Mus musculus: one gene and its partners. The protein of the gene in region 1 purifies or fractionates together with the protein of each later gene. This does not show direct contact. Links are inferred from orthologs where the notes say so. Each region holds a gene or a part of one and is shown on either strand. Other genes may lie near its edges.

Region 1 (3,643 bases):
TTTCATCCACCATACCTCCAACTAATTTATTCATTATGAGCATTTTATTTCACTTAGTAAAACTGTGAGTAGCCTAAGGATAGGTACTTTGGCCTGCTAGGTTCACAATGTAGCCCGCTACACTAGGAATAGGACCTCCTGCTTCCTGTCACAGGCGTATAGTAAATACTCGCTGATCAGATTATTCAGCTTCTGGAACCATTTAGTCATTCTAAAGCCCTCTGTGATTCCCCAGGCGCCTGCCTCCCTGCTTGCTATCCTAGAAATACAACCGACTGGATCCTCCACCTCTCCTGGTCTTGTACAACCAGAGTCACAGGCCTGACCAATGCCGTATCTGCCTCAACAGACAGACAGGATCACTGAAGATAGTGAAGGAAAGACTATATCCTCAGGACAGAATGCAGCATGCAAAGGGATTCCAAAAAAAGCTGCTCTCTTTGTAGCTATCCATTGTTCCTTTGTGCTACCAGCAGTGGTAGCTGCTCTCTTCGTTTCTTAAGAGCTGGCTCTCCTTCACTTCTTAAAATCAAGTGTTGAGAGTTCCAAGGTACGATGCCAAGACTAAAGATGAGATGAGTTAGAGATGGGGCTGGGAGCTTCCCTTTCTCCCAGATGTCAAAATCTCTTATTTTATCCCTGTCAATTAGGGGTCAAAAGATAAGAAGTAACAGGTCTTGGTCAGGCCAATGACAGAGTCCATGACCCACCTGGCTGGGTCCCCGGACCTGGCGGGCCTGTTTCTCTTGATCCCTCAGCCACTGAAGGTAAGATTCTCGAGCCACCTGCTCCTCTATGGCCTCATTTGTGGCCTCCCAGTCTGTAGCTCGTTTCTTGTCTTCCAGCATTTGCTGTTCAATCCATGACTCTTCTGATGTCTTTATGGCATTCTTCATCAGGGACTGCTCTGCAAACTGCCAGGGGGGGAGAGGAACAGGGATGTGCGGTGATGCTCTGAACGTGGGTAAGAGCCTGAATGGGCTCAGAAAGGCAGGCCTACAGGCCTTAGCAAAGACAACATAGAAGTTATTTTTACAAAGCACTCCTCAGCGGATTGTGTATAGAACCATCCATAACTGAAGAAAGCAGGCTTAGATATAAGACCTGGCAATCTGAACTGCTATGGTCAGATATATGGGCCCAAACCCAAGACACCTCAAGTGAAGCATTAAGTCTGGAGATAAGAGGGGCTCTTCTGTCTAGGCCTTCATTTAAAGAAGCCTCATCTAGCAATGATTCAATTTCACAATGCTGAAGCCTTTCTCATATATTCCCAGATAAGGCAAAGGAAAAAGATGAACAGAGAAGTACAGACATGGAGTGGAGGCAGGAATCAAGCGTATATGAGGCTGGGTATGGCTATGTGAGGAATTAAAGGGTCAGTATTGGCATCGTGTGGGTGCTAGGACACTGTATTCTCATGCAAGTTCGCATCAAGTTTTAAGACACTACAACATTAGTTGCTTTCTGAGAGAGGGCCATTGCCTGGACTGATCTTGAACTCACTAAGAAGGCCAGGCTGGCCTGGAATTCATGGCAATTTGCCTTCCAGCTTGAGGCTCACAAGTGCTGGGATTACAGGCATGATGCTAATGAAATAATAGAGAACATCAAAGTATATTTCAGGGATTAAATGCAAATACTACTTCCTAAAATTTTGGTTAATGTTTTGTTTTCCAAAAACAATGACTTGGTATGCAGCCCAGTCATTAGGTTTTTGAACTCACAATTCTCTTCCTCTGCCTCAAGACTACTAGAATTTCAGGCATGTACCACCATGTCCCTAGCAACATCATTTTCAAATGCACATACATAACATACATAAATGCATGTATGCTAAACAACATAATTTTCTATCATGGAGCACACCAGGGGAAATACATGTATAAAAAGGTTAGATCAAGCCAATTTAAAAATAGGGCCAGCTCAGTGATAATGAATGCATACACAAAAACATGGGTTTAATTCCTAGCACTACAAAATGACAAAAATGAAAAGTAGGTAAGTGATCTAATCGCACAGGTAAAAGATATAGAGATGGCCAATGGACATATGTAACCAATACTCAGGCTGGGGACCAAGCTCAGTGGTAGAGCATTAAAACAATGTTCAACACATTTAACAATCAAGGAGCCTTTAAAAAAAACACTGAGAATGGCTAAAATTCAAAAAAAGTAGAAAGATGAATTGCTGGGAAAGAAGAGGAATGGAACTTTCATTCATTGTGATGGCGACTGGAACAAATCAGGCCACTTCATACAATAGTCTAGCAGTTGCTTACAAATCACAGCATGATTTTATAATTCTGCAATCTTGCTTCCAGATATTAATACAACTAATCATAAAATTTAAGTTCCTACAAAAACCTGAACACAGCAGTTTACAGAAGCTTTGTTCATAATCATCAAAACCTGGAAGCAAGCAAGGATATCTTTCAAATAGGTGAATGATTAAACCAACAGTGTGCCTCCACAAATGGAACAGTGATAAGAGAATAGCTAACAAACCATGAAAAACCAGGGAAGAACCTTAATGCATATTGCTACCTGAAAGCAGCATTTTTAAAAGCTTACATACTTATGATTGCAATTACGTGACTTTCTGAAATAGGCAAAAGCAGTCAATAAAGATCAGTGGTTGCAGGAGAAAGCGTGGGGAACCTTTAGGGGCTGAAACTAGCTGAATGAATAGGTGCCTAAGATAGATGCATGGTATTATTATGCATCTGTCAAAACCCAAGGAACTTTACAAAACAAAGACTAATCCTTAATGTATGCTAATCGCCTTTTAAAGATTAGTTAAGAAGTAAGGCTCCCAGTGACAAAACCACCTAAATGAATTACAAATGTATGCAAAGACAAGCAGGTGGTGGCCTTGGGCACTTTAAAAATGAATAGAATCAGTAACACTAAACATAAAAAGAACTGCAGATATCACCGGACTCCAGGGGGTCCAGTTAATGAGTCTGCCCCAGCTTATACCCGTATATGTAAATAGCAGTCATGTAAATGACTGCTGGGTGATGGGGAAAGTTTTCTAAACTTTAAAGTGAAAATTTACTCAGGAAAAGGGAAATTTACTCAAGAAAAAGGCTAGAAGGAGGCAAATGGTCAAGGGATTTTAACTAGATATAGCAGCACTAACCCTAAGCTCACATTAACATCAATTCAGGAAGACAGACATAATTCCCTTTCCTTAAGTATGACTTCCTTCCTAACACTACAGCAGTCAAAAGGTGGGAAAATTCCTATGACTTCTGCCAGACAACATCAACAGTCATGATCATATTCCTAACACATATTCTTGATATCTGTGCTCTTCTGCCCGAACCCAATATCAAAGTTAAAATCATTAGAAAAATGCTGGAAAAAAAAATAATTTCCCTGCAATACTTTTGAATGGTTCTCCTTAAAATTTTTGAGATCATCAAAACAAGTGGGAGGAATGAGGCAGTAACGTCAGGCTAGTAGGCATGTATTAATACTGGTTCACACATGGTAACAGATTACCCAAGTCTCTGTTCCTTGGGAAGAGACTAGATGGAAACTGTACACTGAGAACACTGTTCTCAAGGAGGAAGGGGGCTTTGCACCAAGCTTGATGAACAGAGAGACCTCCACAAACCCCTCCCCAAAACAAATGT
Region 2 (4,104 bases), about 160 Mb from region 1:
GCACTCTGAAGACAGAGGCTGGTGCTCCCTGGACGAAGCTGGCTAACTAGACTCACGAAATCAACAGACTCTGGGTTCCAATGAGAGAGCCCACCTCAAAGTATAAGGTGGAAATGACTAAGGGAGACATCTGAAATCAACCTCTTTCCTCGGTATTCATTGGTGTGTTCTCTCTCTCTCTCTCTCTCTCTCTCTCACACACACACACACACACTCAACCACACATATACTCATGCATGCATACCCTCCCCCACAAGACACCTAAAATAAAGTCAATATTTATAACAATTATTTCAGCAGTGGAAAATGGTAAGAGGAATGTATTACCTTTATGATAAAATAAACTAAACCCAAGTCTATAGAAAATGGTCCATTTCCAAAGACTTGACTGTGTGGAATGCCATTAGTGATCTGAAAAATGGATCAATGGCCATAAGAATTTTCACACAGTTCTAAGGTATGATCCAGCAAGTCTACTTCTGGAAGTCTATCCTAGAGAAGTTACACAAAACACAAGACAAGGGGCCAGAGACAGCGTAGCAGTTAGGAGTATCTGTTGCTCTTGAAGAATACCAGAGTTAAGATCCCAAAGTACCCATAGCTCACATCCACCTGTAACTTCACCCAGTTCCACAGAACTTCTCCCTCCCAGCCCCTGTAGGAACCTGCAAACACATAGCACATACAGACACATATACACATAAATACAAATTTAAAAACACACACAGAGAAGAAATCATTGCAAAGTATGTGTATTTAGTATAGCAAAAATAAAGTTTAAGGCTTTAAAAGGAAAAGATTCCTTTTCATACCATGTTCATAAGGTGAGAAAGTTCCAGCATCGATGTTAATATAGGGGTCAATTTTGATGGCAGTAACTCGGAGTCCACATGACTTGAGAATAGTCCCAATGCTGCTGGCGATAATCCCTTTACCAATGCCTGAGATGACCCCACCAGTAACCAGGATATACTTCATTGGCGGGCGAATAGGTGACTGCCAATACCCAGATGCAATCTGAGAAACAACCAAATTAAGAATTAGAGTTGACTGTCATCGCTGTAGGATAAGTGCTATGCCATCTTCCATGGTTATGAATATTTATTAAGGTTGGAATAACATTTCATTGATTGTTTAGATCACAGCTCAGTTCCTATAGCAAATGAACTGTAAAACTATCTGCAGACCATGCAAGAGACACAATAAAACTTGAAGTGAAAAAAAAAAAAGAATTAGAGTTGAAAAAATTGGGTAAGATAGCCAATGCCTATAATCCTGAGGCAGGAAGACAGTTCTGAGTTCAAACCCAGCCCAGGCTACATAATTAGATCCAAGCCAGACTGGACTACAGAGTAAGAAGCTCAAAAAAAAAAAACAATATAAAGTTAGCTAGTATGAGTCCCAGTACTCAAGAGACAAAGACAGGTAGGTCTCTCTAAGTTAAAGGGCTGCCTGGTCTACACAACAAGTTCCAGGCAAGTTGTGGCTACACAGTGAGACCCTGCCTCAAACAAGAAAGAAGAAACAAACAGAGAGAGACAGAGACAGAGAGACAGAGAGAGAGACAGAGACAGAGAATGGATGCAACAATTGTGAGCTATATGTTACAGCTTTGTACTAAGCTTGGAGTGGGGGGTTTCAAATTAAAACACATCTCTGTTCCAACTTGCCACACATGCATTTCCACTCCACTGTGCAGGCCTACACCAAGAGACACCTTTCTAACGATGCTCATTTTAAAAGTAATATAAATCGAACACAAAGAAGTACTTACAGGATAAGCCCGATTTATGTCCGATTTATGACGTGATGAGCAAAACTAAGCCAAGACAGTGATCATCAAAACAGTGCAAGGGGGCGGAGTAGGGAAATGAACTGTCTAGAAGAAAAAGAGCACCAAGGACCTCTGTAGGTTGGTGAAAACGGTCTAAATCTAGTCAAACCCCACAGACCTGATGTGAAATGGCACATTTCAAGAGCATAAAGTACACATCAATTGTTTTGAAGACGTCATCCGCCTCCCCCAGGTGGTAGAGTTTAGCATGCCAGCTAGAAGGGTTGTTGTTTAACCTGTACGCTGGTGCAGAAAGCCTACTCAAAACCGTCCCCGCGGAGCTCGCCCCACTGTCTCGTGGTTTCACTTCCGCCAACGCCATCTCGGGGCTCCACAAAGCAGAGAAAAATAGGGCTTGGGGTGTGAAATCCAGCGCGGAGAGGCACACCCCAGGGACGCGCCGATTTGGAGCCCGGGTCACTAGCTACCTCCAGGAGACAGGCTCTGACTGAGCACCCGGCACTAGTGGGTGTTGTCCTTACCCCACCCCCACCCTGTCCCCAAGGCCCATTGGATCGCCTAGGTTTTCGAACACTATGTGGGAGATGCGAATGGCTGTGGGCTGGGCGTGGGCACCAGCTATAAGGGGACAAAACTGCCCAGGCCCCAAATGTGCTGCGGGCAAGGCCGAAATGGTCCCGGGGGACAAATGGTGTTCTAGGCACCGAGGCCGGAGGGGAAGAGGCCCAGGAGGGGTGTTACCTGTGCAGTGGCGAGGGCGCCCTGGAGGGTGGCTCACGCGGCTCCACCCAGCGGCCAGCCTGGCCTGGCGCTCACCTGTCCTACGGGTGCAGGGACCGCATCTAGGGCTCTCTGGTCACCACTCGATCCTGCCTGCCCCCAGGGACTGAGGAGCCCTCCTCACCCACCTTCCCCTCGCAGTCCGGCAGCCGGCCCAGCTGACTCACGCTGGTTGTGAAATTGCGAGTGCTGCAGCGTTGGGTTCCAGGGACAGTACAAAACAAGCGCCTAAAAAGTGTTTCCTATAGCACAGGCAGCTCCCATCACCCTCTGCTCTAGACGTCCTTGGCCCCAGGCCACAGTATGGGCCGGCCCCTCCCTCCCCCCTTTCCCCCTCCCTACCCCCTTCCTCCTCCCCTCCCTCCTGTGGTTAGCTAGCTTCAGGCCAGCCCCTGAAGGCTCCAGGACTGCTCTGAACCCCCACCCCCACCCCACGACTAGCCTAGCCCCTTGCTTGGATTCTCCCGCCAACTTCACTCACCATAAATGTTTGACCATCTGCTACAGTGCAGCCCAGCGGTCCACCACCGCAAAAGGTGGGAAAGGAGGAAAACAAAGCAGAATTCTTGCCTAGGAGCTCACTGCCCATCTACATGTTCATTGGTAAATGAACTTCATTAGCCCAAAGTTAGGAAGAGAGGAGGAGCAGAGCTAAGTAGGAGAGAAGGCTTCCAAAGCGACTTTGGGGGAGTGTTTAAAAGATAAGTGTGGCAAAGGACACCCAAGGCTGTTTCAGGTGTAGGAAAGGAGGAAAAACAACTGAAAAATAAAAGATCTAACTGGACACAGGTTTGAAGGGAGCAGACGTTTTAGAAAAGCCGCGAATTTATTTTATTTTATTTTATTTTATTTTATTTTATTTGGTTTTTAAGACAGGCTAGGACTGGAGATGTAGCTCATTTGGTAGAGTGCTTGCCTAGCAAATACAAGAAAGATCACACTGTATCTTAATACACTACATCAAACGCATGGTAGTACATAACTGTATTGCAGCGACGGAACATGGAAACAAAAGGAAACAGAAGTTCCAGATCCCCCTTGAATACTTAGTAAATTCCAGGCCAGTCTGGGTTATGTGAGACCTCAGCAACAGTAAGAGGTGCATTGTGTCACTGGCTCTCCTGGAGATCTGTATGCAGACCAGGCTCGTCTCAAACTTAGAATAATCTCCTGCCCTTGCCTCCCAAATGACCATGAGATTTTTGAGTAACAAGGATAAAACAGGACTCAAAACTTAGACAAACGTTACTGAAGACCTCGTGGAGTTTAGAAACACAACTACGAACGAAAAGCCAGTTGTAATCTATATAAATCTAGATCTCTAACAAAACCAGTTTTATGAATTGTGTCAAGTAGGGCAAAGTGGGAGCCTCTTTAGAATGTAAATGTAGTAGAGGGCCAAAGGTCTAATCCTGGAGGTCAGAGACTGAAATCCACCAGAGCCTATTGGACAGCAGGAAAACGGGAAAGAGAGGGATTGAAGAAGGCAAAAGCCCCAGCAAGTTTAGCAGCAGAGGGTATGATATTGG
Region 3 (4,351 bases), on another chromosome or scaffold:
GAGGGGCCTAGTGAATCTGGTCAGTTTTAAGGACTTCCTGAAACTCCTTTGAGTTTTTTGATTGGTTTTGTTTTTTTGAGACAGGGTTTCTCTGCATATTCTTGGCTATCCTGGAACTCACTCTGTAGACCAGGCTGGCTTCCAATTCATAAGCGATCTGCCTGCCACTGCCTCACAAGTGGTGGGAATCAAGGTGTGAGGCACCATGCCGCCTTGCTGCTTTTAGTTTTTAGTTTACTATTTCAGAAGCTTCCCCTCAAGTTAGAATGTTTCAAGTTCATAGAATGTTTCAGTCCTTCAGGAAACTGTTGCACAACACCTGGACCCGAGTCCCCAAATTTCTATGTCTTTTTCCAGTGTCCCTACCCACAGCTCTCTATACTTTCCCTTGGCTTTTTATTTCTTCACAACACTTAAGTGCAAATATTGTATTTTGTCTGTCTTTTCACTCTGGAAGCATGGCTGGCTCCAGTGCCGTAGATATTCAGCAAATCTTCTTGAACAAACCTCTAATTAGGGGATTCAATGTCTTGTGTTTTGGTTTCTGCTTACTTATGTCTCACACTGTTAGGTGTGTGTCACGGGCAAGAAGGTAGATATATGTAGTTAGTATAACAAAAGTTATATTTTATTATGCTGAAGGTCATCATGCAAGGTTTACAGTCTAAATTTCTTACAGTCCTAAGCCTGTCTCCCCAAGGTCACCTGTGTCACCTATCTTAGCTTCAGATCAGGTTTCTGATTTGAGGATCAGGACCCTGGCGGGGGGGGGGGGGGGGGGGGGGGAGTGGATTCTCTAGCCACAGAGCAGATCAAGGTGTATCTCTCCAGATGTGTAGAGCAAATCACTGCTTTTGGTCTCTGCTTATATTCTGTCCAGTGGGCATCATGGGGTTCTAGGACTGTATCTGGTTATCTTGCGTGAGTGATGTCACTGAGCTCTGGATCAGGAGCAGCCTTGGATGCTGTGGGATTCCTGCTTAATCTAGTTTTATATGTCTAAAAGGCATTTTTTAAAATTATGCTCATTACAGGGTGAAAGTTTTTTTCTGGGTCTGGGTTATGCTTTTTGGTTTCTGTCCCACTCTGATGGTCTAAGTTCATCAGAGTGCACAATGTGGGCCACGTATTCTTAGAGGTCTGTCTCAGGGGTCCCGTGGTTGGTGTGCAGTGAGTCCTCTGGTCTCAAGCCAAGTCCCTGGTCCCGTGTGAGTTCGTTCTGGACCAGGCACAGCACCAGGACAGTGGGTGGGACTCTGTGGGGTCCTTATGCCTAAATTCCAACCTAGCTCTCTAGAGCTACCCAGCGCTTGGGTCTCCGAGCGCACATGACGTCCCTCCCCCGCAGCCGCAGTGCTCCTGCCTCACCTCGCTGCTTCCGCCGACCCGCGAGACTCCGCCCTCTCTACCAAGAGAAGCCAATCAACACGCACGCCCTTGACTCCGCCCTAGCGCCCTTCGACGCGAACCCTTCCCTCCTCCCACTCGTAGCCCGCCCGTCAGGCAGGAAGGCTGGCAGTGGTTCTACCGGCGGTTAATTCTCTCCTCTGTGTTGTCCTCCTTCCTCGTTCCCGATCGCCGGCGGGGGCGGCTACACGGGCGGCAGCGCGGTTCCTGCGGGAAGCGCAGCATAAGTCGAGCGGCAGCCGCGAAGCGTCGAACCGAACGCGGCGGCGGCGGCGGCGGCGGCGGCTGTGCAGCCAACATGGCGGCGGCGGCGGCGGCGGGCCCGGAGATGGTCCGCGGGCAGGTGTTCGACGTAGGGCCGCGCTACACCAACCTCTCGTACATCGGAGAAGGCGCCTACGGCATGGTTTGGTGAGTATCCGCGCTGGATTTCAGGCCCGGCCTCACGCGGTCACCCTGTGCCCCCTGCCTGTGGCTGATCTGGACGCACCCACGGCCCTTCCCGCGCCTTGGCCTCGCGTTCTGCGGCGCCCCGGACCCCTGGCTTCTTGGCCTTCACTCCTGGAGCCCTGGGGCGGGGTCCTGGAGCCGGTCGAGGCTTAGGTGTTGCTCCTCGTCTTCCTCTGCTGCTTCTCGTTTGCGGTTGGAGGGGCAACCCCGATTGAGGCCAGGACTCGAAGACTCCGGGGCTTGGTCTTAAAGCGCGTACTTTCGAGGCTTCTCCCTCGGGACGGGAACGGAAGTACACTGTGTCTCCTAATTTATAGCATTATAGCCACCGCCTCTTGACATTAGATTAAAGCCAGGAATTGTATTAGATGCTTGTCCGTGGTGGCGGCGGCCATGGTTTTGCAAGACGGAATAATAGGCTTGTGTGCTGAGCACCAAAATATTTTTCTTCTCTTCTGTGTACGTGAACAGCATTCACAAAATATCTTAAGTAGCGCTAATGATGCTTTCTGCCTCGGGCTTAACCGTTAATGACACAGCGTTGGTTGTGGACATATTGAAATCTTGAAGTTTCAAAATGGATTTAAATATACCGATTGTGTTTCAGAAAGGATAAGCCAGCATCACTCTAGAATTATTAAGAAGTATTTGGAGTTAGTCCTAATTTGACTTTAAATTATCCCGTCGTTACCCTCAAGAGTACTCTCTTAACAGTGTGAATGTATCCATATGTTTTAGCCCGATTACTGTGATCGTTTCCCCATAACGTTTCAGTGTTCAAGAATAGTTTTTGCACGATCACTTGCAGGATTTCCTGCATGTGGAATGTTGAAGTGTATTGTTTTAACTAAAACAAGTTCATTTATCGAAGGTCTCTGAGATAGTTTAATTTAACTTAGCTATCTTGAGGAAAGAGAAGACAGCCTTTTTCAGATAAGGTATTGAAAGGAAGTCCTTTTACAGGGCGAAGAACTAGAATCAAGCTTTGCTGTAGAAAGATCCTGTTTTAAATGCTTCAGCTCTTGAGCTATTGCACAGGCCTCTCCTTGATTTAATAATCTCAGGACTTCGGCATATTTTCCTGATGAACAAGTCTATTCAGAAATGCATTAAAATTTGAATAGTCATAATTTTAGAAATGCCAGAAAAGGTGTGTTTTCACCAAGTGTGCTAACAAGATAGAATAATTAACGTTCTTTTTTTTTTTTTTTAAAGAAAAGACTCATGAATAGTTATATTTTTATGAGCAAAATGTCTCATAGTATACAATTACGAAGATAAAAGTGAACTGGACCTGCAAGTCAAAAGAGGAATGGAGAAAAAGTACTTTCCATATCACATTTGTCTTGCATGTATTACTACCCTGTACCTGCTGGTAAATATGCCAGTAACACTTATTATTGACACTCATGATTACCCACTATAGGCTCATTTATTTAAGGGGGGATTATTTTAAGTAGGGACAAAAAAAAATTAGGATCTGTCAGTTGAACTCACACATTCCCCACCACCCTGAGAAGATGGATTATTTAGATCCTGTTGCTATTCACCTTTGAAGTTTCCACTTGCTGTGCAGAATTCTTTTTAAAATTCAAATTTTAGGGGCTGGAGAGATGAGTCGGCATTTAAGAGCACTGGCTGATCTGGGTTCAATTCCCATGGCAGTTCACAACTGTCTGTAATTACAGTTCCAGAAGATGAGATGTTCTCATAGAGATGCATTCAAGCGAAACATTCATATGCATAAAATAAAGTTAATTCATTTTTTTAAGACAGGGTTTCTCTGTGTTGTTGCCCTGGCTGTCCTGGAACTCAGTTTTTAGACTAGGCTGGCACCTGCCTCTGCCTTCCACCTGGCACCTACAAATTTTAATTTTAAGAAAAATGCAGATGTAATTGGAATTTAAATCCTAACATCAGCCTTTTATCTCCAGATTGATAACATATCTTAGGTATCTTAGTATTTATTTAATAGTCTTAATTGTATGTCATTAGCATCTCATCAATGTTGAGTTTATGGCAGCTTCTTAAGTATCTACTTGAATAGTTGTGATCTTTAAAAAGTTGGAGAGATGGCATAGTGGTTGAATATCATCTGCTGCTTTTGCAGGACCTAAGCTCAGATTCCTGCATCTACATTAGATGACACTCCTACCCAACCCCTGGCTTCCAAGGGCATCTACACTCACGTGGTGCATAGAAAACTCACTAGGGGACACACACTAAAAACTGAATTTAAGAATAACTCTTTTAAAAAGATTATTTAAGGGATTTTAAGCTGTTCTTTAGCAAGATTTCCCTAAAACAGTTCTCCGGGAATAGTGCCTATCTGTTCAAGTTCCCTTCCTAGTCATTATGTAGAAGACAAAAAGATAAAATGTGGGGGTGGGGTGCAGGATAGATATAGCTCAGCAGTTGAGAGCTCCAACCAAAATTCAGTTCCTAATAGCCAGTAACTCCAAGTAATCTTGATGCCTCCGACCTCTTATGGGTG

What was found. The genes of interacting proteins can lie anywhere in the genome.
Region 2: the proteins of Otud5 (region 1) and Ctps2 purify together in Homo sapiens (affinity purification with mass spectrometry; 3 studies listed by BioGRID and IntAct, with this or other methods). This does not show direct contact. The link is inferred for Mus musculus from reciprocal best matches to the Homo sapiens genes OTUD5 and CTPS2.
Region 3: the proteins of Otud5 (region 1) and Mapk1 purify together in Homo sapiens (affinity purification with mass spectrometry; 3 studies listed by BioGRID, with this or other methods). This does not show direct contact. The link is inferred for Mus musculus from reciprocal best matches to the Homo sapiens genes OTUD5 and MAPK1.

The regions. Positions count from the first base shown.
Region 1 is NC_000086.7:7,869,267-7,872,909, reverse strand, and holds part of Otud5 (OTU domain-containing protein 5), read right to left. Parts: intron 915-3,643; coding exon 711-914; intron 1-710. UniProt on the Homo sapiens protein: Deubiquitinating enzyme that functions as a negative regulator of the innate immune system. Has peptidase activity towards 'Lys-48'- and 'Lys-63'-linked polyubiquitin chains. Can also cleave 'Lys-11'-linked ubiquitin chains (in vitro).
Region 2 is NC_000086.7:162,900,347-162,904,450, reverse strand, and holds the start of Ctps2 (CTP synthase 2), read right to left. Parts: upstream 2,892-4,104; 5' UTR 2,704-2,891; exon of another isoform or gene 2,537-2,703; intron 2,281-2,536; exon of another isoform or gene 2,071-2,280; intron 1,880-2,070; exon of another isoform or gene 1,775-1,879; intron 1,018-1,774; coding exon of another isoform or gene 979-1,017; coding exon 813-978; intron 1-812. UniProt on the Homo sapiens protein: Catalyzes the ATP-dependent amination of UTP to CTP with either L-glutamine or ammonia as the source of nitrogen. Constitutes the rate-limiting enzyme in the synthesis of cytosine nucleotides.
Region 3 is NC_000082.6:16,981,922-16,986,272, forward strand, and holds the start of Mapk1 (mitogen-activated protein kinase 1), read left to right. Parts: upstream 1-1,460; 5' UTR 1,461-1,705; coding exon 1,706-1,818; intron 1,819-4,351. UniProt on the Homo sapiens protein: Serine/threonine kinase which acts as an essential component of the MAP kinase signal transduction pathway. MAPK1/ERK2 and MAPK3/ERK1 are the 2 MAPKs which play an important role in the MAPK/ERK cascade.